3 linked regions of the Xenopus tropicalis genome follow. Each later gene encodes a partner of the first gene's protein in a complex. Links are inferred from orthologs where the notes say so. Each region holds a gene or a part of one and is shown in the gene's direction. Other genes may lie near its edges.

What was found.
Region 2: tfdp2 (region 1) and e2f4 share a complex: the UniProt entries of both Homo sapiens proteins name them as parts of the DRTF1/E2F transcription factor complex. The link is inferred for Xenopus tropicalis from reciprocal best matches to the Homo sapiens genes TFDP2 and E2F4.
Region 3: tfdp2 (region 1) and mybl2 share a complex: the UniProt entries of both Homo sapiens proteins name them as parts of the DREAM complex. The link is inferred for Xenopus tropicalis from reciprocal best matches to the Homo sapiens genes TFDP2 and MYBL2.

Annotation. Positions count from the first base shown.
Region 1 is NC_030681.2:129,528,121-129,535,971, reverse strand, and holds part of tfdp2 (transcription factor Dp-2), read left to right. Parts: intron 1-2,797; coding exon 2,798-2,949; intron 2,950-3,080; coding exon 3,081-3,247; intron 3,248-7,016; coding exon 7,017-7,116; intron 7,117-7,423; coding exon 7,424-7,583; 3' UTR 7,584-7,851. UniProt on the Homo sapiens protein: Can stimulate E2F-dependent transcription.
Region 2 is NC_030680.2:76,530,173-76,538,784, reverse strand, and holds the start of e2f4 (transcription factor E2F4), read left to right. Parts: upstream 1-3,984; 5' UTR 3,985-4,036; coding exon 4,037-4,159; intron 4,160-8,612. UniProt on the Homo sapiens protein: Transcription activator that binds DNA cooperatively with DP proteins through the E2 recognition site, 5'-TTTC[CG]CGC-3' found in the promoter region of a number of genes whose products are involved in cell cycle regulation or in DNA replication.
Region 3 is NC_030686.2:39,921,756-39,930,319, forward strand, and holds the start of mybl2 (myb-related protein B), read left to right. Parts: upstream 1-3,936; 5' UTR 3,937-4,077; coding exon 4,078-4,097; intron 4,098-6,272; coding exon 6,273-6,366; intron 6,367-6,656; coding exon 6,657-6,728; intron 6,729-7,534; coding exon 7,535-7,627; intron 7,628-7,784; coding exon 7,785-8,005; intron 8,006-8,564. Other genes in the region: uncharacterized protein LOC733539, read right to left, coding at 803-1,609. UniProt on the Homo sapiens protein: Transcription factor involved in the regulation of cell survival, proliferation, and differentiation. Transactivates the expression of the CLU gene.

The DNA of each region.
Region 1 (7,851 bases):
ATGGCAGAGAGGCGTGCCAGACAATGAAATGTGGGACTATGCCCAAGAACAAGTTCCAGAAATAACAATGGCAGTCAGAGACGGGTTAATTCATATTAAGTTTATTAATAGTGCCTACTTAACACCCCACAGATTAGCAAGGCTGTACCCACAAACATCTGCTATATGTAACAAATGTGCAATCCTAATATTTAAGCCAGGCTCACTGTAGGCACTTATGTTTTTCTTTCTACTCTCCTTCTTTCTCTATATTGTTGTTAAAATGTTAAATCTTTAAATAAGTTTCTGGTAGACCGCAAGATGGGATGAAGCGGGATACCAACAAATTCCAGAGCCTGTTGGGTACAGGAAGTCTGCAGCAAGTTTATATGTAATTCTCATCATCCTAACCATTTTAAACAAAAGTAATAACTCATTAATAGTTTATCATTATTAATGAGGATTAGGTTGGTGGTATTTCCCTGCGTATCCCAGTGTCACTTTAACCTCCTGAAAAGCATCCCTACCATGAGTCAATCTATAAAGCATAAACTCGTTTATTCTTTCTGAGCAATCCTCTCCTGTGCATGGGGTCTGTAAACATTCCTATGTTCTGTTTCTTATTTCCATGCTTAGCACAAAGATCCTCTCATTATCTCAAACATTTCAACACTGGGCCTCCTGTGTGTGGTTTGCTTGCCCATAGTTTAAACGTAGATCATGTGAACAGGCGGTCACAGGGCCACCACTACAGACAATGAATGCTGGAATTTGTAAGGGTGAAGAGAGTGAGCTCCTGGACAATGGGATGCTTTGTTTCATCAATCAGATATAAAGCAGAAATCTAGCTGTGGCGCATATGCCTGGTCCTTGGTAAGCGGCAGCAGCTCCCAGAGGCTCAAGGTTAAGTGAAAAATATACTGAAATATCTGCCATTCCCCATCCACTTCCTTGTAACAGTTTCACAAACTCCCTGAAAGTAAAGGTTGGATGGCTGTTTAGCAAATGAGGGAATACAGGGTTATGGGCAATAGCTTTATTACAAGTTGATACAGGGACAGGTTTGATTGCCATCTTGGAATCAGGAAGGAATTTTTTCCCCTCTGCGTCAAGTTAGAGAGGCTTCAGGTGGGGGGTTTTGCCTGCCTCTGGATCAACTAGCAGTTAAGCAGGTTACCGTATATATAGGCATGAAGGTTGAACTTGATGAACGTGTGTCTTTTTTCAACCTAACTAACTATGTAGATAATGGTGCTTTGGCATTCCCTCACCAGTACGCTTGCCCTGTGGTGTTTACCAGCCAATATATCAGCTGACACTTAGCCATCAAAGCTGCAACCGCAAGCAAATCCAGAAAATGATCATTTGGAGGCTTTATTCTGGCATTCTTCTGCCTGGCCCCTGCCTAAGGCCTCTTCTTCCCTTAGTGGTATCTACAATGGGATGTCATTGAGAAGAGACTCATTGATCTTGCTGTATCCCTTTCATTACTCCTGCTTAGTTAAATTACTTTGAATGAATTTTAGGTTTCAGACATGGGGGGGTGGGGGGGAGAGTAGATAAAATTACAAGGGCCAGGAAATAATTTTCTCATGGCACATGGAGGAATCCCTTGTATTACTGAATCTCTGCTCCTCACTTTCAAGTACAGATACAGTTGTTTTCAGATTTATGGATGTGGCCTTCTGTCTTTGGCTTTTAAACTTCTCTTTTGCATTGGAAGGTTTTATAATCTGCATGATTATTCTGGATACCAATGTTGCTTCACTTAACTTTTCCTATAGGGCAGTCTACGGCCTAAAAGTGGCCGTACATGGGCAGATTAACGATGCTGATTTGGCAGCCTATCTGCATGTGAATGGGGACCCCCGACAGGCCTTCCTGATTGGTATCTGGCCGAAAATCGACTAAAGGTGGCCATACACGTGGCGATCCGACGATGTTTCGTACGACCATCGGTCGCACGAAACATCGTAAGATCCGCCACACACCATTCAGGGCTGAATCGGCAGGTAAGGAGGTAGAAACAATAGGATTTCTACCTCCTTCTGCCGATTCAGCTCTGAAGGGAGAATTTTGGTCAGGCGCCTTCTATGGCGCCCGATCAAAATTTTCAAACTTGTCCGATCGGCGAGTCGTCCGATATCGGCAGCTTCCTGCGATATCGGTCGACTCGCCGACATGCCATACACGCACCGATTATCGTACGAAACGAGGTTTCGTACGATAATATCGGTGCGTGTATGGCCACCTTAAGTGTCGAGCGGCTGGTTTAAATTTTTTTTTTAATAGGATTAGCTCTGGGGACCACATTGGCTGATTGATCTTACCAAACGAGCAAATCTTATAATGTATGGCCACCTTTAAAGGGGACCTGCTACCCTAAGAAATAATCCTAAATGTATTTCTATCATGTTAATTGAGCAAAATAAACCAATATCTAGAAGTGATAAATCTGGCTTTCCAAGCAGCTTCTTCAGGCTCAGCAGATAGTGTGCACACACTTCATTTTATTTACAACTGCTTGGTTGTCTGGGAGGGGGGTTGCCAGTGTTTAGGCAACCCCAGGGATAGTAAACATTAACCTGCGACCCCAGGCTGGCTTTCCCCTTTGCTGAAAAACTAAGTGACCTGTGGTACTGTTCTGTTTAGTGCTGCCATCTTGTCTCTTGTCCCAGGGAGCGCATGATAGAATAAGACTGTAAATTAGAGAGTAAATTGCAAACATTTACTCTACTCTGCACCCTGCTGGTGATTACTGAGCAGGACAATGCATTACTATTGTGCTTGCTAATTTTTTTTTTTCCCCCCCTCCCAGCAAATTGCCTTTAAGCACCTTGTTCAGAGGAATAAACAGAACGAGCAGCAAAGCCGTTGCCTCCCTGCTGGAAATTCCACCATAAAATTACCCTTTATCATTGTGAACACCAGCAAAAGGACTGTCATTGACTGCAGCATATCCAGTGACAAGTGAGTGGCACAGTGGGACATTAAGGCCTGGACCTTCCCATTACAGAAAACTTAAAATAGTAGGAGAAATCCTGACAGTAGGATATGAGCCAGTGATGGTAGATAACCTTTATTCTACATCTCTCCTGCAGGTTTGAATACCTTTTTAATTTTGACAATGCCTTTGAAATTCACGATGACATTGAAGTCTTGAAAAGAATGGGAATGTCATTTGGGCTTGAGTCTGGAAAGTGCACATCAGAGAACCTGCGGCTCGCTAAATCCTTTGTGCCCAGAGCCCTGGAAGGATACGTCACAGGTAGTCAGCTAACCAAATACACTCAATCCTTAATAAACAGGTAACCTTCCAGATATGGACTTGATGAAATAGGCCATACCATTTCCGCTAAGGCCCTTACAGGCCTAAATAAGGTTTACAGCAGCCTCTCTGGCATTTCCCAGATTATTCAGATTTTTAATCTGCACAATAATATAATCCTAAATACAGCCTCCAGGGAGTCAGTGACAGATGTTTATGACAAGGGGATTAGTTTACAATTTAACGGCATCAGGCAGGATAAATCTTGGCTGTGTCTAGCTGGACGAGACTTTGGCCAGAGCTGGCCTAAATTTGCCATCACCCTTTCTGGCCACATTGGTCCAGGTTCTTACCTAAAGCCAACTGTTTCATCACTGCAGACATTAACGGATTCATTAATGTTTGAGATTGAGAGAGATGGGATGCGTTGATAACTGCAGGAAAATCCATGGCAGTCATGAAAGGTAAACATGCTGCCTGTGATAAATACTGGCCCTTTATTATGGGGATCACTCAGGAACACAAAGGGAGCATTCCCAATAGATCCTCACCTGTTATAAGTAGCAAATAGAAGAAGCGGCCTGTCATCAGGGAAGGATGGTTTAATTGCCATGGTCTTCCCTCAGCCTTACTAAGGCATACCAAATAACTCAACTGCAGTTTTGCAGCAGTTGGCAGTGAAAACCAAAACTTCCTTATACAAGTTACTTCCCATTGATGTGAGTTGGAAGCTCCTCTGGTCATACTGCTGTGTTTTTGGGTGATAGTTCCCTATGCAGTCTAACCCATGGGCTTCCCATTAATTTTAGAGGGAAGGGAATATTTGATTATTAAATTAAGCTACGGCTCAATGTGTAACAAACACTGATATATTTAGAATAAGAAAGCTGCTTGTCCCAAGCATCCCTTTTAAAGGCACAGTAACACCAAAAAATGAAAGTGTATAAAAGTAATAACAATATAATGTACTGTTGCCCTGCATTGCTACAACTGGTGTGTTTGCCTCAGAAAGACTACAATAGTTTATATAAGTTAGCTGCTGTGTAGCCATGGGGGCAGCCATTCAAAGGAGAAAAGGCACAGGTTACTTAGCAGATAACAGATAAACCCCCATTATAAGGGGCTTATCTACTAGTTATCTGCTATGTAACCTGTGCCTTTTCTCCTTTTTTCCAGCTTGAATGGCTGCCCCCATGGCTACACAGCAGCTTATTTATATAGTAGCTTTTCTGTAGCTAAAACACCAGTTTTTTGCAGAGCAACAGCACATTATATTTTAATTACTTTAAAACAGTTTCATTTTTTGATGTTACTGTTCCTTTAATACACTGCAGACCATTTTAAACTATCATCCAGCCTCTCTTCATAGTATATACTACTGTAGAAGATCGCTGTAGAAGATCACTAAGCCTGTTTGGATGTAAAGAGGACACAATATGGCTATAGTATGAAGAGTTTGGATGTGCCCAATCGCTGTGAATATCAAAACAGACTCACAAAGCTCATTTGAGGATTTGATTGAAGTTTAAACACTGCTAAAAGTAATGTCAAGCACCAGACATGTATTCTTACAACCGTGGGGTCCTGAAATCTGCCTCCACTAAACCAGACTAGCAGTAAAAGTCTGAACATCAGTGTAAGGCAGCCCCGGGACTGGCAATCTTTGGATTCTGGCAAATGCCAGAGGGGCTGCTGTAAGATGCCATAGACAGTCACTATTTATTGGGCTAGCGGGGGGCTGTTTGGGCCTCTGTTTACTTGGGGGCTCTTTGGGACCTGGTGTAAGGCTCAGTTCCTCAGAGATACGGAACCCAGGGTTATTGCACTTCTCTGCCCAGGCCTATAGCTAGCACTGGATGCCTAGTTGGTTAGTAATGCTGCTCTAGAATCAAACTTGGGTAGAGACAGTATTCAGTATATAAGAGCTGAGGAAATGTTTCACGCCTTTTACTGTACGACACTTTGTTGTTTTATGGGCTGCTGGCTGGACAAGTGTGCACAAGGGCAGGTTTTGGGGACACTTGCGCAGAATGCAAAGTAGACGAAAGGCGGGGGAATCTGTGGGCCAAGATATTGTCTGCAAAGCAGGACTGTGCCAGCAGCGGACTCATTGTGCATATAAAACACAGGCCCAGCTATTCATTCCCTCCTTGGTGACACTTCTTGTTACTGAAAGGATTTTCCTGTCGACTGCCAAGAACAGTCTCTCTAAATAGGAGGGAAATCCCATTCAAGTTTCCTGCATATTCTACTATCAAGTTGAAAGCCTCAGTAACTAGTGCCGCGCTGGAAGAAAGGCACTCTGCTCCAGGTTAACCTTCAGTCGCTCTTGTACTGTCCCTAATATTGCAGTTGTATACTTTCGCATTCTGTAGATTTGGACTCCATTTGCTTTGATTTACTAATAACATTGGTTGCAGTTATATGGCTGGGGGCACGCACAGCAGTTTTTAATGGGATAGTGAGCAAAATAACAGGACGTTTTTGTGAACAGAATCCTTCACACAAACCCTGATTCTCTGGGGTAGGGCTTGGCAACCACTGAAAACGTGACAATTATACAACTATAAAGCAGTTTGTCACGAAAGCCAGAGTAGTTAATAAACCAGTGGGACAATAAGTGACCCCGACATGGGAGAGGAGAGTAGTGGATGGAGAGGAAGAGCAGTGAGGAGCAATGGATGGAGAGAGGAGGAGGGCAGTAAGGGGCAGGGAACAAAGAAAGTAGGGCAATGAAGGAAAAGAGAAGGGTTGTTGAAGCAAAAGGGGGCTCAGTGGTCAGGAGTATGAGAAGGATGGCAGTGGGAAACAGTGGGTGGTTTGGGGAGAGTGTAGTTATGGGCAGTAGAAAAAGGCAGGCCCGGACTGGCAGTGCTGTATGATGGGGGGCTGTTTAGGTCTCTGTCCATGCCTAATGAGAGAAGAACAGTGAGAAACATTGAGGAGATAGAAAATGAGGAACAATGGAGGGGAGAGATGAAGGCCAGTGAATATAGATAACAATGAGAGAGTGGATGTAAAGAGAAGGAAAATGAGGAGCCATGTAGAGAGGTGGTCTGTGAAGGACTATTAGACACTGGGTATTTGTGGAAAAAACTTGGGAGACATGAGCATTTTGTTAGGGAGGAAAAGTTACAGAGATACACCTCTTGAGAGATTGGTAAATCTAATATGGCGGGAGGAGGAGTGGAAGAGGCGACACCAGGATAGAGGGCAAGTGAAGCCAGATTAAAAGAAAAGTAACACTAAAATTTTTTAAGTGAAAAAGCTATTCTACCCTGCACCAATAATTGCCCTATCCTGCAAACCCCTTAGTATTTTGAATGCTTTAAAAGAAAATACCTGTTAAAACTTGGCTTCCTGTCAATTGAACGGAGGCGATACCGCGAAGGAAGGAGCAGGCATCAACTATGCGAGGATCGATTGATTGAGCCTAGCCTTCCTTCTGTATAGGAAGGAGTCAGGCTAGACTCGATCGTCACATAGTGGATGCTGCTCCTTCCTTCGCCGTATTGCCTCCGTTCAATTGACAGGAAGCCAAGTTTTAACAGGTATTTTCTTTTAAAGCATTCAAAATACTAAGTGGTTTGCAGGATAGGGCAGTTATTGGTGCAGGGTAGAATAGCTTTTTCACTTAAAACATTTTAGTGTTACTTTTCTTTTAATCTGGCTTCACTTTAGTGTTACTTTTCCTTTAAAACATCAGACATCTTAATTTCTATCCATGATTCCTCTATGTGTGCTAAAGTCTTATTTTCTGTTCCCTTAGAAATGGCTACAGGAAGCTCATGGGCAGATCAGAGTTTTAATTCACAGACTGCTCTTTCTGCAGTGAACCCAGCTGGCATCACCACAAACTCCCAGGCAAGGTACAGTAACTCCCAGTGCTGCTTTTCCACTCAGGTGTATGGCCTTTCTTACATCCATGAATTTGTATTAGGATTAAAGCATTTGTCAAGTCAAATTCACCATTTTTTATTTATGGTCTTGCTTGTCCTTTAATTTTGTTTGACTTCCCCTTTAAACAAATTGTAAGCTATTCGATTAAAGCAAAGACTCACACCCAATGAGTTTATACCAGGTACTATTACTTATTAATGACTTCTTGTTCTTTATTTCCTTTTTCCACTTATTTTGCTTCCATTCCGCCTCTCCCCCCTCCCCTTTCATCTACAGCTTAACTTCGGGCTTGTACTTTGACTCAGAGGTGTCCCTAACCACCAGCAGTCACCATTCCAGCTCAGGAACGTCACACTACACAGAGTCACGAGGGGAGACCCCCTGCTGGTTTGACGACGATGAAGATGATGAAGACGACTCATCCTCCATGGAGTAGGAAAGCAGACAGACGCGATTGTGCGTGTAGGGGTCATTATGCCAATGCTGTCGGATCTTCCATCCCAGCGGGAGGAATAGAATAAAGTGCTGTCCTCGAATTTCTCAACCAATCAGATTTATATTGTAGTGAACAAAAACTCCAAACCCTTCAATCAACAAGATGGTGTCTCTTCAGATTGGATGTCCCCGTATTAATTGTTTATTCTTTTTTTATTTTGTTGAAGAAAGGAAGTTTTTCAGACTTGATTCTTTTGGATCAAAAAAAA
Region 2 (8,612 bases), on another chromosome or scaffold:
GCATGGTCAGGCCGAATCAGGGGTTTCACCATGTGTGCCTGGGGCATTGATTTAAGCCTCATTCTACTTGTCAGGGTGCCCAGTTGAATGGTGAAATAAAAATGGGGGCCCCCTGGGGGGGAGGGCCCTAATAACATGGTAGTATGGGGCCTCAACTGCTAGTTGATCCAGAGGAAGGCAAAAAAAAAAACACCTGAAGCCTCTCTAATTTGGAAAAAATTCTTCCTGACTCCAAGATGGCAATCCGACCAGTCCCTGGATCAACTTGGATCTCCCGTAACCCTGTATTCCCTCAATTGCTAAAAAGTCATCCAAACCCCTTCTTGAAGCTATCTAATGCATCAGCCAGTACAACTGGTTCAGGGAGAGAATATTCCACAGCTTTACAGCTCTCACAGTAAAAAATCCTTTAAACACAAAAATGTAATGTGAACATAAGTGAACAGCCTCTTTAAAATTTTTCAATACCTGACATTCTTGCTGTCCAGAGTTTAATAGTAAGACTGCGGCATATGTGCCTTAAGCCTATGTGAGTCTGCATTCTTGATTAAATTTATGCTGAATAAGCTTTGTGCACATATGCTGTTTGCAGATTTTAATGTAACTGATGATGTGTCAGAGGAAAAATGGCCACCAGGTGAAAGCTGCTATTAGTTTTAGGAAAACAAGATGGTGTTGGCAAACAGAGGGGATATATGTAGCACAAATTATGCCATTTTGGTGGGGGAGACATGTCCAACTGATATACATTGTAGGAAAATGTAGGCTTTACCTACACGCTTATCCTTTAAGCATCACTTCTCCAATGTAAACAACTCAAACTTGACCAGTGATGACCTTACATCTACCGAGTTTAAATCTCATCTGCCACTTAGTTGCCCAGGTTGCTAGTTTGTCAAGATCCTGTTGCACATCCCGAATAGAATTGATTGGGCTGCAGAGTTATGTGTCATTTGCAAACACTGATACATTACTTATAACACCAATTAATGAACAAGTTAAACAAATATTGGACCCAGTACAGAACCCTGAGGGACCCCACTAAGAACCTTACTCCAAGTAGAGAATGGACCATTAACAACCACCCTCTGTCCCCAATCCTGTAGCCATGTGCAAGCAACTTCACTAAGACCAACGGACCTTAGTTTAGAAAGCAGTCGTTTGTGTGGCACGGAATCAAATGTTTTGGCAAAATCCAAACCTCATCATAAAAAGCAATCAAATTGGTCTAACATAACCTGTCCTTCATAAAGCCATGCTTTCCAGAACATAATTTTGCCAGGGATGTCAAACTTACTGGCCTATAATTGCCAGGCTGAGGTTGCAATCCCTTTTTAAATTTAGGTATCAGCTTTCCTCCAATCCATAGGTACCATACCAGATGACAGCAAGTCTGAGAATATCAGAAACAGAGGCCATTATAAAACTGAACCTAGCTCTCTCAGAACCCAAGGGTGTATTCCATCTGGCCCTGGTGCCTTGTTCACATTAATTTTGAGTAACCCTTTATGTACCATATCCTGTGTTAACCACTGACTAGATTGAGCTCAGGCAACACTGAAATTATTGGGTGGGTCTTGGCACTCTGGCCGCTCTATTGTATATACTGAAGAAAAGTATATACAATAGAGCAGCGTTTTTCAACCGCTGTTCCGCGGCACACTAGTGTGCCGCGAGATGTTGCCTGGTGTGCCGTAGGCAGGGCCGCAATTTTTACTTTCCCCTTTAATAAAATCCGGGCCCTGTCATTGGTTGCGCCCCGTGTGTACGGGTGACGTCAGTACGCACGGAGCGCAACGTTATAAAAGGGCCTGTGTGCGGTCGCGTGTAGGCAGAAGTGCAGAGGCGGCGCGCGTGAGGGGAAGATGCTGCTGAGGCCGCCGAAGAGCAGAAGTAAAATGCTGCTGGGCACCAATGTATTAGGGGGGGCCACGGGGCACACTGACTTATGGGGGCACTGCTACTGGGCACCAATGTACTAGGGGGGCTGGCTCTTGGCACCAATGTACTGGGGGGCACTGCTGCTGGGCACCAATGTACTAGGGGGGCACTGCTCTTGGCACCAATGTACTAGGGGGGCACTGCTGCTGGGCACCAGTGTACTAGGGGGGCACTGCTGCTGGGCACAGAGTTACATTTTTTAACATTTTCTAATGGTGGTGTGCCTCGTGATTTTTTTCATGAAACAAGTGTGCCTTTGCCCAAAAAAGGTTGAAAAACACTGCAATAGAGTTCTGTTTTAACCTTATTGTTACTATAAGTCAATGGGACCACACTCTCATCCCGCATGCGCTCCTCATTTTCTATCTTTGCCTTCTGGATTGCTGTTTTACAACACTTGCTATAGTGTTTATATTCAAGAAATGCAGCTTCTGTCCCCTCAGACTTAAGACAGATTTTAACATTTACTTCTAATGGTAATAAATTGTGAACAGTAATGATTATATGTTCATTATAGATAAACATGAGTGATCTGAAGTAAAGAATGATTGAATCCTGGTTAGTCCACCCAGCTTGGTTTGCCAGATCCCATTTGTTGTTCAATACATTTCTAAAACTCTTGGTTATTATTATGCAGTTGTTCTTCCATTTGCTGCTTTCAAGTCTCCACTCATCTGAAAAGTCTTTCAAAGGCAACTTCGGGAAATCAAAGTGACGTGTATGCCATCCCACTAGAGATTTACATTCTTGCCTGTGACATGGAATTTTGGGGAGATTAGTCGCCCGCAATAGTAAAGATTTATCACAGGTGACTAATCTCTCCCAGTTTTCCATTACTCTAATGAGTTGCATTTACACACGCATGCGTCAAAAGCAGATGACCGCGTCATAGAAAGTGACACCCGTGTGAAAGGAAGTGACGTACGGAAAATTTTACTATTTTTTTTACTGTAAAATTTTGACTGCGCTGCAAATTTTTTCGCCCATCCCTAATAGGCAACCATAAAGGTGAAGACACACAGAGCTACTTAGTAGCGGCTACTAAACACCAGAAAATACCCTGCCATAGACAATACTGAGAATTGCCTCTGCTAAGGGCTCTGGCACACGGGGGAGATTAGTCGCCCGCGACAAAACTCCCTGTTCGCGGGCGACTAATCTCCCCGAGTTGCCCTGACCCGCCATCCCGCCGGCGAACATGTAAGTCGCCGGCGGGATGGCACACGCGGCAGCGCGATTTCCCAAAATCGCCGAAAAAGACTCGCGAGTCAAATGAAAAACCCAAATGAAAAAGTAGCTGCTACTAGTAGCTCAGTGTGTCTGGCACACGAGGAGATTTGTCGCCTGCGTTTTTTCCCCCCGCGCTTTGGCGACAAGTTGCAAAGACAATACACACGAAGAGATTTCATGCGAGTTGAGCTCCAGGCGATCTGCTACCCATGGTACCACTCAACAGTTACCCCTCCCACATGTTTACTCAAGTCATTCAGAAAAGGGTCTGTGTGCGATTTGAAACAGCAGGTGACTTGAAGTAGCCTCATATGTTTTGACGCTGGTGATTTCCATTGGTTTAGCATTGGCGTCTTGTCGCCAAATCTCTCTTTTAAAAATCGCCGGCGACAAATCTCCTGGTGTGCCAGAGCCCATAACCCCAAAGAATGAGGAATGACAGAAGAATGACAAATGAGAACTCCAATGTTCTTACATTTTTACCAATCCAAAATAAGTTAAGAGCAAAACGACGCTTTTTAACTAGCATTTTATACTTTATTTAAATATTATCATCGATGTTCGCATTCCTTCTCCTTTACCAAGAAGCTTTTCTGATTGCCTACTCTGCTTCCGCTAGTTACCTTAATTTCTGGTGTCCCCGGCTCTAAAATGCATTTAAAAACATATTTTCTGCATCTTGTGTGCATCCCTGTCGACTAACCGCAACATTCTCTCAGGCCTTCTGCGCTTGTTCTGAACACTCCAGACACGCTCCCTCTACACTGGTACAGCCTCTTCCCGGCATGCTTTGCGAAGCAACGGCCGCTCAACAGCAGTTTGAGCAGGTGACCGGAGGCTCCGCCCACAGGCTCGCTGTTCCATCATGGCGGATCCCGCTCATCTCCCGGTCACACCAAGCCGGCACGAAAAAAGCCTTGGGCTACTCACCAGCAAGTTCGTTTCTCTTTTGCAAGAGGCAGAGGACGGGGTTTTGGACCTCAAGGCGGTATATACATGAGCTCTAGGTTTCTTATAAACACATAATTAAATGTATATGCACGTCCACATGTGCACTCTATTAATTATATTGAGATATCTGGATCTCTCGTGTTTGTTTGTAAATGTGTCGATGTTTCGCACGTTTATACCATATAAATGGGCTGCTATGTTTGCATATGGATTCTATACCAGTATGCCTGTAGCTGAGACATATTGGGTGAATTGTTCAGTGAGGGTTTTGCTAGGTTACGTGCACGATATGTGTAGAACTTGCAGAGTGTCAGTGCTTGATAACTGAGGGCTTGCCCTTCTGAAGATCAGTCAATTTGCGGTTTTCATCGTACGATAATGTATCTCCTGCACATGCCTGCATTGCAACAGTGTGGTAGCCTACTTTCTAAGCTGTTATAGATGCACAGTGTCTATTGCTGGTTTTGTACAGAGGGTTCCTCGACCCCAAAAACTATTTTTGCTTAAGGAAAGAAACCTACTTTTAAGCAAATGTCCAATCATAAACTATTTAAAACGCATTTGTTATGTAACTGCTATTGACCGCAGTACCTCTGTTTACATTCTCTGCACTTTTGTCTCTTTATTCCTCTGACAATGTTGCAAGTCAACTGATAAAAGCTGGTCGATACAATGGAGACCTGACTCCTATTGCATTAAGTCAGACCTAGAGAACAGAAAGGAATAAACTTTTTACTACAATTACACTAATACCTAATTACAAAACTTTTTTTTAAAACAATTAAACCTTGGAACTTATGTACATTAGAAAGTTGCTTTATTACATTTTCTTTTACTGTGCAAAAACTGCTTGTTGGTTTGTAGAACCACTATAATGCCAAGTGATTACACCCATTTAGTAACAGGAAAAGACAAATGTATGCCCCCCCCCCCCTTCCCTTGTAAAACTACATTTCCCAGTACCGACCACTATCTGAGCTGTTGCCATGATTGTGTGAGCATACCTAAACAGCATATCCATTGTGGTATAGTGTATCTTTAGATATGTTTCTGTTTGTAGTCCATTTCACCCTGTCATGTTACTTTTACAAGACACAAGCAATTGATGAGTCATGTTAAGGAAAGCAAGACCTTAACAGAAGCACTTCCTGTCTACCTAACATTAATACATGCTGTTTGGTGTAGCAGTAAAGTCATTTTTGTCCAAACTGGTTTCTGCAGAATTAGAGAAAATTCATTTCTACGGTACTTTCCAATATGCATTAATTGCAACGGTTCAGTGGTTTTTAAGTTATGTGTAAATGTAATTGTGATTGAAAACAGTATTTATGACTAGTTTCTTCTATATTAATTCAAGTGTCAGAGCCACTAGTGCAGAGACCTCTATACAGCCAGATACTGCTTTCAGTAACTTTTAATATTTAAAATGTGTTTATCTGAAAGTTGCTTAGAGCTGGATTTAATTTATGTGTAGCATATATGCTAGCATGTCTTGCTTGCTAATGTACATATGTGTAATTATTTAAAGGGGAGCTCCACTCAAACACAACATAACCATTTTTAAAAGTAAAAATAATTTTAAGTAACTTTGCAATATGCATCAGTTAAAAATATGCAGCTTTTAATGATTTTTTTTTTATGTAACAATATGATTTGGAACATGTTCTCCTGCTGATCTGGCCGACTACTTTGAAAAAAAAAAACTGAAACAGTAGTCGACTGTCCTCAGCCTGCCTTCAGCCTGCATCATCAAAATCCCACAATTCCCTGTACACATGATATCAGTAAGGAAAGGAACATCACTATGCGATGCATTAGGGGTTATATAGTTTCTTCATTCTGTCTGTAAGCTGTGGAGAAGTTGTAACAATTTGTAACATCAGTGTTTTAGTCCCTCCTCTCCTGCCATTTAAGATGCGAACAGGGAAGAACTGTTTTGGAGCTGGATTTCAGCTTATAAAAATAGTATTTATTACTACAGTAATAGGTATATTAGGGATTTCTGTGTTGTGTATGGTTGGTAGCCAGAGTTCCCCTTGAAAGTGTAATGCTTTTAAATTTGATAAGTTAGGGCCAACTAGAACTGTTGATTAATTTTGCTCTACCTGATTATTTTTGCATTACGTCTTTGTATGTAGTTAAAGCTCTTTATCCCAATGCGACAAGCTTATACTTATGTGTTAGTAGTTTTGAAAATTAACTGTACACAATATTTGCTGAGAATGCCAGTTGTGTCTGTATTAGAGCAAATTGATACTTTAATTTCTTATTGTGGCAGAATTTCTTAATATATTTCTCTGAGGACTTGCATTAGATCTTCAATTTCTACAATTGTAGAAGCAACTTTTACTTTAAATGTGAACATGGAGAAAATATGTTTCCTGACTCCTACATTTTCTGTTTTAAAGGACAAGTCAGCCCAAAATATATTTTTTTGCCTAACAAAAGAAAACATAATTCTAATTCTAACTTTGCAATATTCATTCATTACAAATTTGTAATGTTTTTGACTTATTTGTGTATATATAATTACTATTAAAAGCAGTGTTTGTTTGTCCTTTTGTATTATCTGCCCTGGTGGCTCTGACTCTTGAAACAATGTAACACAAACCAACAGATTGACAGACCTGCCTTGCTGGAGGAGACTGACTTTTGCAACATTGTTTAAAAAGTAACAACTAGGAGTTCATCAAATGCTGCTTTCAATAGCAATTACATTTACAAATAACTTTTAAAGCACTCAAAATTTTCAATAAATTCACTTTGGAAAGTTGCTTGGTATTATGTTTTCTTTTATTAGGCAAACAATTATTTTTGGGGTTGACCTTAAAGGATAAAGAAAGGCAAAAACTAAGTAAGCTTTATCAGAAAGATCTATGTAAATACAGCCATAAACACTCACAGAAATGCTGCAAAAAGAGTTCTCTGTCAAAAGATTTGTTGTCTGTCTTCCTCTGCCAGAGACACTCGGCTCTCTCCTCTCCCCTGCCCCCCCCCCCCCCTTCCTTAAGAATGCTAAGAACTCACCCCCTCTCTTAGGAATGTGCACTTAAAGGAACAGTAACACCAAAAAATGAGTTTTTTAAAGTAATTAAAATATAATGTACTGTTGCCCTGCACTGGTAAAAGCTGTGTGTTTGCTACAGTAATACTACTATAGTTTATATAATAAGCTGCTGTGTAGCCATGGGGGCAGCCATTAAAGTTGGAAAAAAGGAGAAAAGGCACAGGTTACAAAGCAGATAACGGATCACCTCTCTAGAATACAATAGCGTTTATCTGTTATCTCCTATGTGCCTGTGCCTTTTCTCCTTTGAATGGCTGCCCCCTTGCTAAACAGCAGCTTTGTTTATATAAATTTCTGAGCCAAACACACCAGTTGTACCAGTGCAGGGCAGCAGTATATTTTATACACTTTAATTTGTTGGTGTTACTGTTCCTTTAACCACCACTTAATCCATCACTTAAAGGATATGTAGACCCCACACACACAAATTTTAATCAGTGAACAGCCTCTTTGAATTCTTTCAATACCTGCCACTCTCGTTGTCCAGAGGTTAATAGTAAGGCTGCAACATCTCCTTAATCACTTAGATTTCCTTCTCCTCCTGTAACCCACTCGCTCCCCTCCATAGGGAATTTGCTTTCGCTGTTGGCTCCTGGGCATGCTCAGTTCTAAGCTCAGATTACTAAACACATCCTCCAGTCTAACAGCCAGTAAAGAGATGGCATTGCTGGTTCCCATAGAAACTCAGCTCTAGCTGTCTGCTTCAGTTTTTTTCTCCTAACCTCCTCTCCTGAGCTCAGCTCAAACAAAGCAGAACTTTTATCATAGACCGTTCTGCCTGTGTGAGCCTGCATTCTTTATGAAATGTATGCTGAATAAGGGTCTGTGTGTGTGTGTGTATGCTGTTTGTCGATTTAAATGTATCTGATTATGTATCAGAGGAAAAATGGCCACCGGGTAAAGCTGCTATTTGCTTTAGGAAAATGTAATGGTGCTTGAAGACAGAGGGGATATATATGCAGTACAAATGATGCCATTTGGGTGGGGGAGACATGCCCAACTGATATACATTGTAGGTAAATGTAGGCTTTACATGTCCTTTAATCTATATAGGTGTTTTGAACAATACTGTTACTTCTAACCATCAACCTATATTTGGTGTAGATATTTTACTGAGGATACGTTACACTACTTATGACTGGTAATAATATGCAGAACACTAATTATGACACACCATGGAACACACAAAAAAAAAATTAATAAAGGCTTTCTTATAATTTAAAGTCGGTTTATACAAATTGTGAAACTTAATCCTCCCTTTACAGTTGTAGTTGACCAGTTATTGCCTGTATTTGATTGTAAAGAAGTGTGTGAATTGTTTGATACTTGTTGAAAAGTCACTTGAAGCATAGGCTGCTTCTCTCTGCCTGCGCTTTGTTGCCAGGCGGAGTGAAGCGGAACTGTTCCCATAAGATTCCATGTG
Region 3 (8,564 bases), on another chromosome or scaffold:
TTAAGTCACTGGTAGGAAAGAAATTAAGCAGTGGCCATTGGCCAAAACTTGATACATTATCTATTATGCAGAAACCTGTTATCCAGGTTTCTACATAAGATTGCCACACAGGGCAAGAAAAACCACCCCGCTGCTCCACTTTATGATCTGCTCTCAGACACTGCATCAGCCTGGGTGCAGCAGCAAAGTGGTTTTTGTGTCTGCACCCCGGTCAACACAATGTCTGTGGGCAGTCATACCATAGTGCTGTGGGCACGTGGCAGAGATTCAAAGCGGATTACAGCACTGAAGTTTATACTTGCCCATTTCAGTGCCTAATTCCACTCTGTGCCTGCATGTGGGCCGACAGTGGCTTCAGGTGCGGGTTAGAAAGTAGGAGCCCAACAGATCAAGTATAGACAAGCTTCTAGCCATAACGTTGCTTGAGAAATACCAGCAACAAACCCAGGTAAAAGCAGTTATGGGCACTGCAAGGTCATTAAAACATGTAAGGTGAACTTAGCCTTTAGCAGTGTTTTGCAGACTTTAGGTTGGATCTCGCTGTACCTCTAATGTGTAGCAGTAATGCACCGAGACCCAGGAATTAAACAGAACAATAGGACTTAGTGCCGAGTAAAAGCAAACAAAACTGCTTGAATAGATTATTCTTTATTTATATAACATACAAAGTCCTGTACAGATAGATAAGAAAATAGTCATGAGAAGTAATGTATTGAACAGCACGTGGCAATCAGAAATATTCTGGAAGTTTACAAGGTTTGTCTGCAGAACAAGCAAGTGATATTAAGAGTCAAAACAAGGATTAGGTGGTCACCTCCAGATGCCACTCCCCTCCGACCTCATCGGCAGACAGATGGAAGGAATGGAGCAAGGGGGTATTTGAGGTAACTGGGATTTCAGAGGCACTAAGCTGGCGCTGGTAGCGGAATGGCTGTAAAAAGGAGCGCCCCACATCCTTATGAGTGACCCCAACCCACTGGGTACATTGAGAAGCTGGAACCTGTGGATTTGAAGGTTGGTCTCGGTCAGAGCTACTTGTAAACCTCAAGTCAGAGACAGAAACATCCAGAGTTGGAGTGTTCTCCTCTAAAGCAGAGTTGATCTCAGAGAGCTCCCATATTGGTGGTACAGAAGGCTTCTGCACCCCAACAGCCTGGACCACCATCTCTGAATCTTGCAGTTTAGGTACTTGGATGTCCACGCATATTGCATCAGTGGCCTCTTCCTTATAGGGTGTTGACACTTTTGCACCATAGAATACCCCAACAATAGAGTTACTTAGTGGTTCTGGGGCTAAAGCAGACAGTTCAAACACCTGACCGTCAGGTGGTGGGAATGGAGACCTGCTGAGGCAGGGCACGATTTCCTCAACAGTCATTCGCTGCTTCTCTCCACCTACAAGAGGGCTAGACTCCGAAACCTTAAGCAGGAATGGTGACCCACCGGGCTTGGGACGGGTTCTTTGATCCAACAGTTCAATCCCCGAGGAACAAGGAGAAGAGCTACTCTGAGCTGTGGCCACAAATCCCAAGTCCATGATCTCGGTCAATGTGAGGTTGGAGCTGGACATAAGGAAACTGATACCACTGCTGTCCCAGCTGATAGACATCTTTTAGGCTTCTCTCAAACCTATCAATTAAGAAAAAGCAGTAGGATATTAGATACCATATTTTATTTTTGAAACCAAGAATTAGAGGAAACCCATGCTTAAGTAACTTATGATAGGGGAGCACACATGAACATATTTGGTACAGCAGGTATCCATTTGGGCACAAGCCACAACCCTGAGGGCATTAAGAGACTGTCCTACGATCTATCATTTATCTTGGCACCTCAGTGGGGTCATAGCAGATGTGCGAATGGCCAAAGCTCTCACTTAATTGTTCATTCATACTAAAAAGACATAGCACTCTGTAAAGCCACTCTTATATCTAATGAGTAGCAATCAAGGGCAAACTAACAATAGCAGGAAAGCCAAGTCTAATAGATTAGGTCTGGAGAGTTATTGTAATATTTATTACGGATAGTAGGCTGGGATAACAGTTGGAAGCCAGAAGGAACCAGGCTCCAGTAATCCCACTATTATACACCTCTAAAAAGGACATATGATTAAGAGATTTGTATATAAGCACTCCCTGTAGGGCTTTGCCAACTATCCCACAGCATTCAATTAGTTAGAATTGGCTTAGGGCAGTTAGGATAACAACACACAATACTCCCAAGTGTGAAAAATCACTGCAGGTGTAGCAGGTTGTTACTATTCTTTAAATGGGAAATGTTGCAAGGGATGCCTGTTGTAGGGTTGCAGAACAGGGAATGTGAGTAAGTCTATGTTGTTGTAGTAGTTTTACTATTGGGAAGTCACAGGCCAGTCCAGGCGCAGACTGGTAATTTGTAGATCCAGACAAATGTGGGGCTGCTGTAAGATGCCATAAGGGGGCTGTTTGGGTCTCTATGTACTTGGAACATATTTTGTATCCCAGTCCTGGTCCCCTCAAACAGCATATTGCTTGATGAAAGTCAAATATTCCAACATGTATTTTTGCCTCCAACATATTAAACAAAGAACAACAAAGTTTACCCAAAACAGACAAAGGAAAACATATAAAACATCTCAGCTTCCAAAGCCATTTGTGCATACAACAGCCAACTGGCATTCAAATGAATGGCAAGCATCTCAGCACCTATCTATGTCTCTGTTAATCACCTGGCCAACAAAATGGTTAAATTACTAAACATGCCAGCACCTTCACACAGCAACACAATATGGGTTTGTACTAAGCCCTAGTAACAATTACGCGACACACCACCAACTTGATTCCCTTTGTGCAGCCACTTACCTTCCCTGATAGATTTCCTCTAAATGATTTATTCTGGCTTCCAGGCAAGTAGCCTTTTATATAGTGTTTTAGGAGGTTAAGTAGCCAATCAATCTCGCCTTGTGACCCCACCCATTATCCAATTATCCCATTCCTCACTTGTAGTTGTTAGGCCAGACCAGCTCATAGGGATGCTGGATACTGAGGAATGTGAGAGCCATGTTTCAAGGGAATGTTAACTGTTACATTAAATTTGTATTTGTTATAGAGACATCCCTGCTGTACCCCCATAACGTCTTCCTAACCTAACACCTCTCCATTTATCTTCACTGTCTACTTTATAACCTTCCTCCATCTCAGTTATGGTTTCCCCCAGTCTTCTCTCTCATATAGAAGTTCCATTTTGCTCCCCCTGTTCCCAGTTGCAGAGGGTGGAAGGGAAAGTGATATAATTTCTGCCTTTACTGAGGGTTCTTTCCACTACTGGGCAGTCACTCCTAAGCCATGCTGCTCAGACTGGGTTCAGGAGAGGTTATATTTGAGCACATACCCCACCCCCCCTCAGCAATACCACTTGTAGCCAGCCAATGGCAGTCCTGTAGAAGTACCTAATAAACATTTCAGGTTTTTTTTGTTTTATTTATATTTCCATTCTATTTTTTTTCCAGCCTGCAATTGCTTAGTTGTCAAGGTTACCTAGGTAACTGAAAAACAGACTGACTGTGAAGGTTCCATTTCATTATTATTATTATACTTCTATGTTTGTTGCTAGGGAACTCCCATTCTAGTAACCAGGCAGCAGTTCAAATTTAATGTTCAAAAACCTATACACTCATAGCAAATCTGAGGTGGTGATGTCAGCGTAAACCCCACTTAAAATGCATGGCTTAACGCTACCGTCGCCAAAACTAAGAGGAAATGACTGTCTAGTCTGGAAATTTTTAGAATCCTCTGTCACTCGGGTTGTTACAAAACGTAATAGGCGCCAGAAGCTGTCCCTCATTTCTAGCTTTGATTGGTCGCCGGGAAATCGCTGACATCAGTGCGCTTGCTGTTCATTGGTTAAAACCGGACGCATGGCCCTCCCCACATATAGAAGTGACAGGCACCTAGAGCGCCTCCGTATGGGCTGTAGGCCCCGCCCAGGGAGTGGGTTCCGCCCCGGAAAGGGAGTTCTGTGGGTGCGTGCGCAGCTGGCGGGAGATAGGAAATAACAATACCGCCACAGACTGCGCACTGAAGTGTCCGGAGCGGCAGGATGTCCCGGCGGGCCCGCGGGTGAGCCTGGCACTAACGGGTGGGGCAGTGGGGCTGCACATACGGGCACAGCTACTACTTTAGAACCCGGCGGCCTTTTCTTACTACTTTTGAGTAGGTGCCAGTCACTGGGCGTCTGCTTTGCGCTTTCAGTTCTGCGCCTCCTCCCTGCCCTGTGTTATCGCCCTTACCCTGGCCTTGCCTCTGCCCTGGCCTTGCCTCTGCCCTGGCCTTGCCTCTGCCCTGGCCTTGCCTCTGCCCTGGCACCTGCCCTGGCCTTGCCCCTGCCCTGGCCTCTGCCCTGGCCTTGCCTCTGCCCTGGCCTTGCCTCTGCCCTGGCCTTGCCTCTGCCCTGGCCTTGCCTCTGCCCTGGCCTTGCCTCTGCCCTGGCCTTGCCGGGCTCTCACCTATTGGCCTTCTCTGGATTTACTAACTTCCCCCATTCTGGACTTTCCTGTCTAGTTGGGCTTCTCTGTCGGTTCCACATGCCTAAACTATAGCTAAACTATTCTACTGCTTCTCTCTCCACAGCTGGGCTCTTTGCTCTCTCCCCAGTCTCCCCTTCCCTCTACCCCCCAGCTCTCTCCCCAGTCTGCCCTTCCCTCTACCCCCCAGCTCTCTCCCCAGTCTCCCCTTCCCTCTACCCCCTCAGCTCTCTCCCCAGTCTGCCCTTCCCTCTACCCCCCAGCTCTCTCCCCAGTCTGCCCTTCCCTCTACCCCCCAGCTCTCTCCCCAGTCTGCCCTTCCCTCTACCCCCCAGCTCTCTCCCCAGTCTGCCCTTCCCTCTACCCCCCAGCTCTCTCCCCGGTCTCCCCTTCCCTGTACCCCCTCAGCTCTTTCCCCGGTCTCCCCTTCCCTGTACCCCCTCAGCTCTTTCCCCGGTCTCCCCTTCCCTCTACCCCCTCAGCTCTCTCCCCAGTCTGCCCTTCCCTCTACCCCCCAGCTCTCTCCCCAGTCTGCCCTTCCCTGTACTCCCCCAGCTGCCCATCACTGTCACCCCTCACCTCTCTCCCCAGCTGCCCATCACTGTTGCCCCCTCAGCTCTCTCCCCAGCTAGTATTGCCAACCCTTGTTTTTGTCTATTATCTTTCTAGCCTTCTCTTTACTTCCCTTGTTCTGTCTCCCCATAAGGACTTTCCATGTCCACCCCGAGTGGGCTTCCGTGCATTGCCCCATTGTCCGCTCTCCCCCACCCCCATTTGCACTTTCCTATGAAGCTTCCACTGTCCTCCCTCTGAGAGTTTTCCTTTGGCTTTCCATACACTTCAGGGCATGCATATCTGCCCTACTACCCCATATTTCTCTCCCTGTGCTTCCCACATTTCCCAGTACTTCTCAGACCTTCAGTAATGCTATGTTTGTGCACAGCTGGCCCCCAACGACCCCTTTTGTTTTGGCTTTTGTCTTATTGCGCCAGGAGGTTAACTTGTGACTCTCCAGCTGGGTTTGTCCCTGCTCTCTCAGTGCTCCATTCCAGCTGAGCGCCACGTTCTGCAGCCTCCCTGTGCTTGTTTGCCTGTCTCTGCTCCTCATTTATAACCCTTCTTAAAGAGAAAGAAGTTTTTGTCGGCCATATTTCCTTAGATTCTTAGTAATTTCTTTCTTGTATATCTAGGAACACTACACTTTTTGTGTAAAGGTGCCTCAGGATGTCATGCTGATTACAACTCCCTCCCCCACCTTCACACTTCTCCCCTTTGCAACCCACCTACATTGACTGCATTTACAGAAATATAATGCACTTATCAGACGCTTAAGTAAAACCCAAGGATGACTTCCCTAGTGCACAGTTTTCTCTTTTTTTTTTTTTTTTTTTTTTGTTCATGTTTCTGCCTGTAACCTTGTGTTCTGTCCCAGCTATGTGCCACATGTAGGATCCTTTGCTTTCCCAAGCTGAATTCCACCCCACCCCCCTTTCTAGTTGACCCAGCCCCTATGTGATATCTCCAAAAGCAAGCTGGAGAGGGGTTGCTGGAAAGTTCGACCTTCGCATTTGGAGTAGTGGCCACCCTCATGGCACCCTGGTTTTTTTTTTTTTTTTTTTTAATCCTTGTTTTGCTAGATTAACAGACACCCTATTCCCTGGGTGCTTTGAGTAATGCTGCCTCTTTCCATATGCTGAACCTGTGCTTATTTCTGGGACACTGTTGCATGTTGACTAAATACTAATAATAATTTTTTCTTTAACCCATACAGAGATGATCTTGAGGATTTGCAATATCAGGACACAGACTCTGATGTCCCGGAGCCAAAGGAAAGCAGGGTCAAAGTGAAGTGGACCCCAGAAGAGGTACAGTATGCAATTAGATGTATTGCTAGAGCAATACAATCCAGAGTCCTTATCTCTTGCCTAGGGCTGGATGAGAACCCTTCTGTCCCTCCAGTGCTGGTCTTTGGACTTCTTACTGTGACTGACATCTCTGTCATCCTCTGGGGGTCTTATATGTTGGTGATACTATTTACATAAAATAGTACAGGGATGTCACTCCCCAGTATTAGGTCATGCGTAAAAATTGCTCCCGTCCGTGTTTCCCCCAGTAAGGTATTAATTATTGTTTCCATTTTGTTCTGTTTCATTAGGATGAGACGCTAAAAGCCTTGGTGAAGAAGCATGGACAGAGTGAATGGAAGGTGATTGCCAGTAACCTTACTGTAAGTTCCATCATCCCTTCAGTGTAAATCTTACATTTCACCATGCTTTATAAGTCTTATAGAAACGCAGCTTAGTGAGCAAGTGCAATTTTCCTATTTGGTTTTTATCCGCAATGCAGCTTTTTGCTGGAATCCCTACACAACTGTAACAGCGCTGGGAGTTGTAGCCACTGCATTTGTCCCAACATGACAAAGCTAAAGCAATTGCGCATATAAAAATCAAGTGCAAGTCATGGGAACTGCATCGGTTCTGGCACTGGGCATTAAAGCAGCATCAGCTTGTGATTCTTTTGGTGCACGACTGCATTAGGGCTGACATCTAGGCAAAAATGTGTGAAATGTCAGTTGGTGTCTTCAACATACACCAATAGGATAAAAACCTCATATAAAGTAGGTCTTCTGCTGTTAAAGTATATCTGATTTGCTGGCCCTGGGCAGATGTTACCTTTGGCCTACAATGGTTTTATGGCTGTTTTGATCAGGGGACACTTTCTGAACTGATGACGAGCTAGTCTATGTACACTTAAAACTCCCTATTTCTTGTTAACATTTATTTCCATTACTACCCCCTTTTATACATCTTAATTCCATATTAGGGTATATGCTGGTTATGCCTTTCCCCATAAGGGAAAATAGAACCCAGAAATCTTATGGCTTAATGGAGAGGTGTTTATGCCCTTTCAGCGCTGTTAGACATCGGATGGCACTACTTGGTGTGAGCAAAGGTTTAGTACAATAAGCACTGTCTTTTTGTTCCTTAGTCTTAATGTTTTAGTAAGGTGTTTACATTTTTGTTTTTCCTCCAGAATCGTACTGAACAACAATGTCAGCACCGCTGGCTTCGTGTTCTTCATCCTGACTTGGTTAAGGGTCCATGGACAAAAGAGGAAGATGAGAAGGTATGAAGTGAGGTATCTGAATAGGGGAATACATATTATTATTGGTGTGGCAGCCCTGATAAACTACAATTCTTTTGTAGTCTTTGGAGGGATGCTGTGAGCTCAACATCCTTGTGGCTTACGTTGAACTTTGTCTACCTCTGATAATTCTTTCTAGGTGATAGAATTAGTGAAGAAGTATGGCACCAAACACTGGACCCTGATTGCTAAGCAGCTCAAAGGCCGCATGGGCAAACAGTGCCGCGAACGATGGCACAATCACCTCAATCCAGAAGTGAAAAAGTCCTCATGGACAGAGGAAGAGGACAGAATTATATGCCAAGCCCATAAAGTATTGGGAAATCGCTGGGCTGAAATAGCAAAGCTGCTTCCTGGGAGGTAAGAGAAACCCACCTTTGCCTGTTAAACTCCTCTTTACTTCAACTGTTCAGGCTGTCTAAACAGTGCAAACGTGGCCATACTATGCATAGCATCTTATACAGCAGGGATCCCCAACCTTTCTTACTCGTGAGCCAAGTCAAATGTAAAAAGACTTGGGAAGCAACACAAGCATCAAAAGTTCATGGAGGTGCAAAATAAGGGCTGTGATTGGCTATTAGGCAGCCTTTATGCACACATCAGCTTACAGGGGGCTTTATTTGGTAGTAAACCTTGTTTTTATTCAATCAAAACTTGCCCCCAAGTCAGGAATTCAAAAATAACTACCTGGTTTGGGGGCACTGAGAGCAACATCCAAGGGGTTTGGGGAGCAACATGTTGATCATGAGCCACTGGTTGGAGATCACTGTTATACAGTATCTATCTAACCCAAAGGCCAATCAGACACTGTACAAAGCTGAAATGTGTACAGCAGCCTTAAGCCTTCAATATACTGTCCTGGGGGAAGAATAAACTGAAACATTACCTGTTTAAGGAAATAATTGGCTTTCCTAAAACA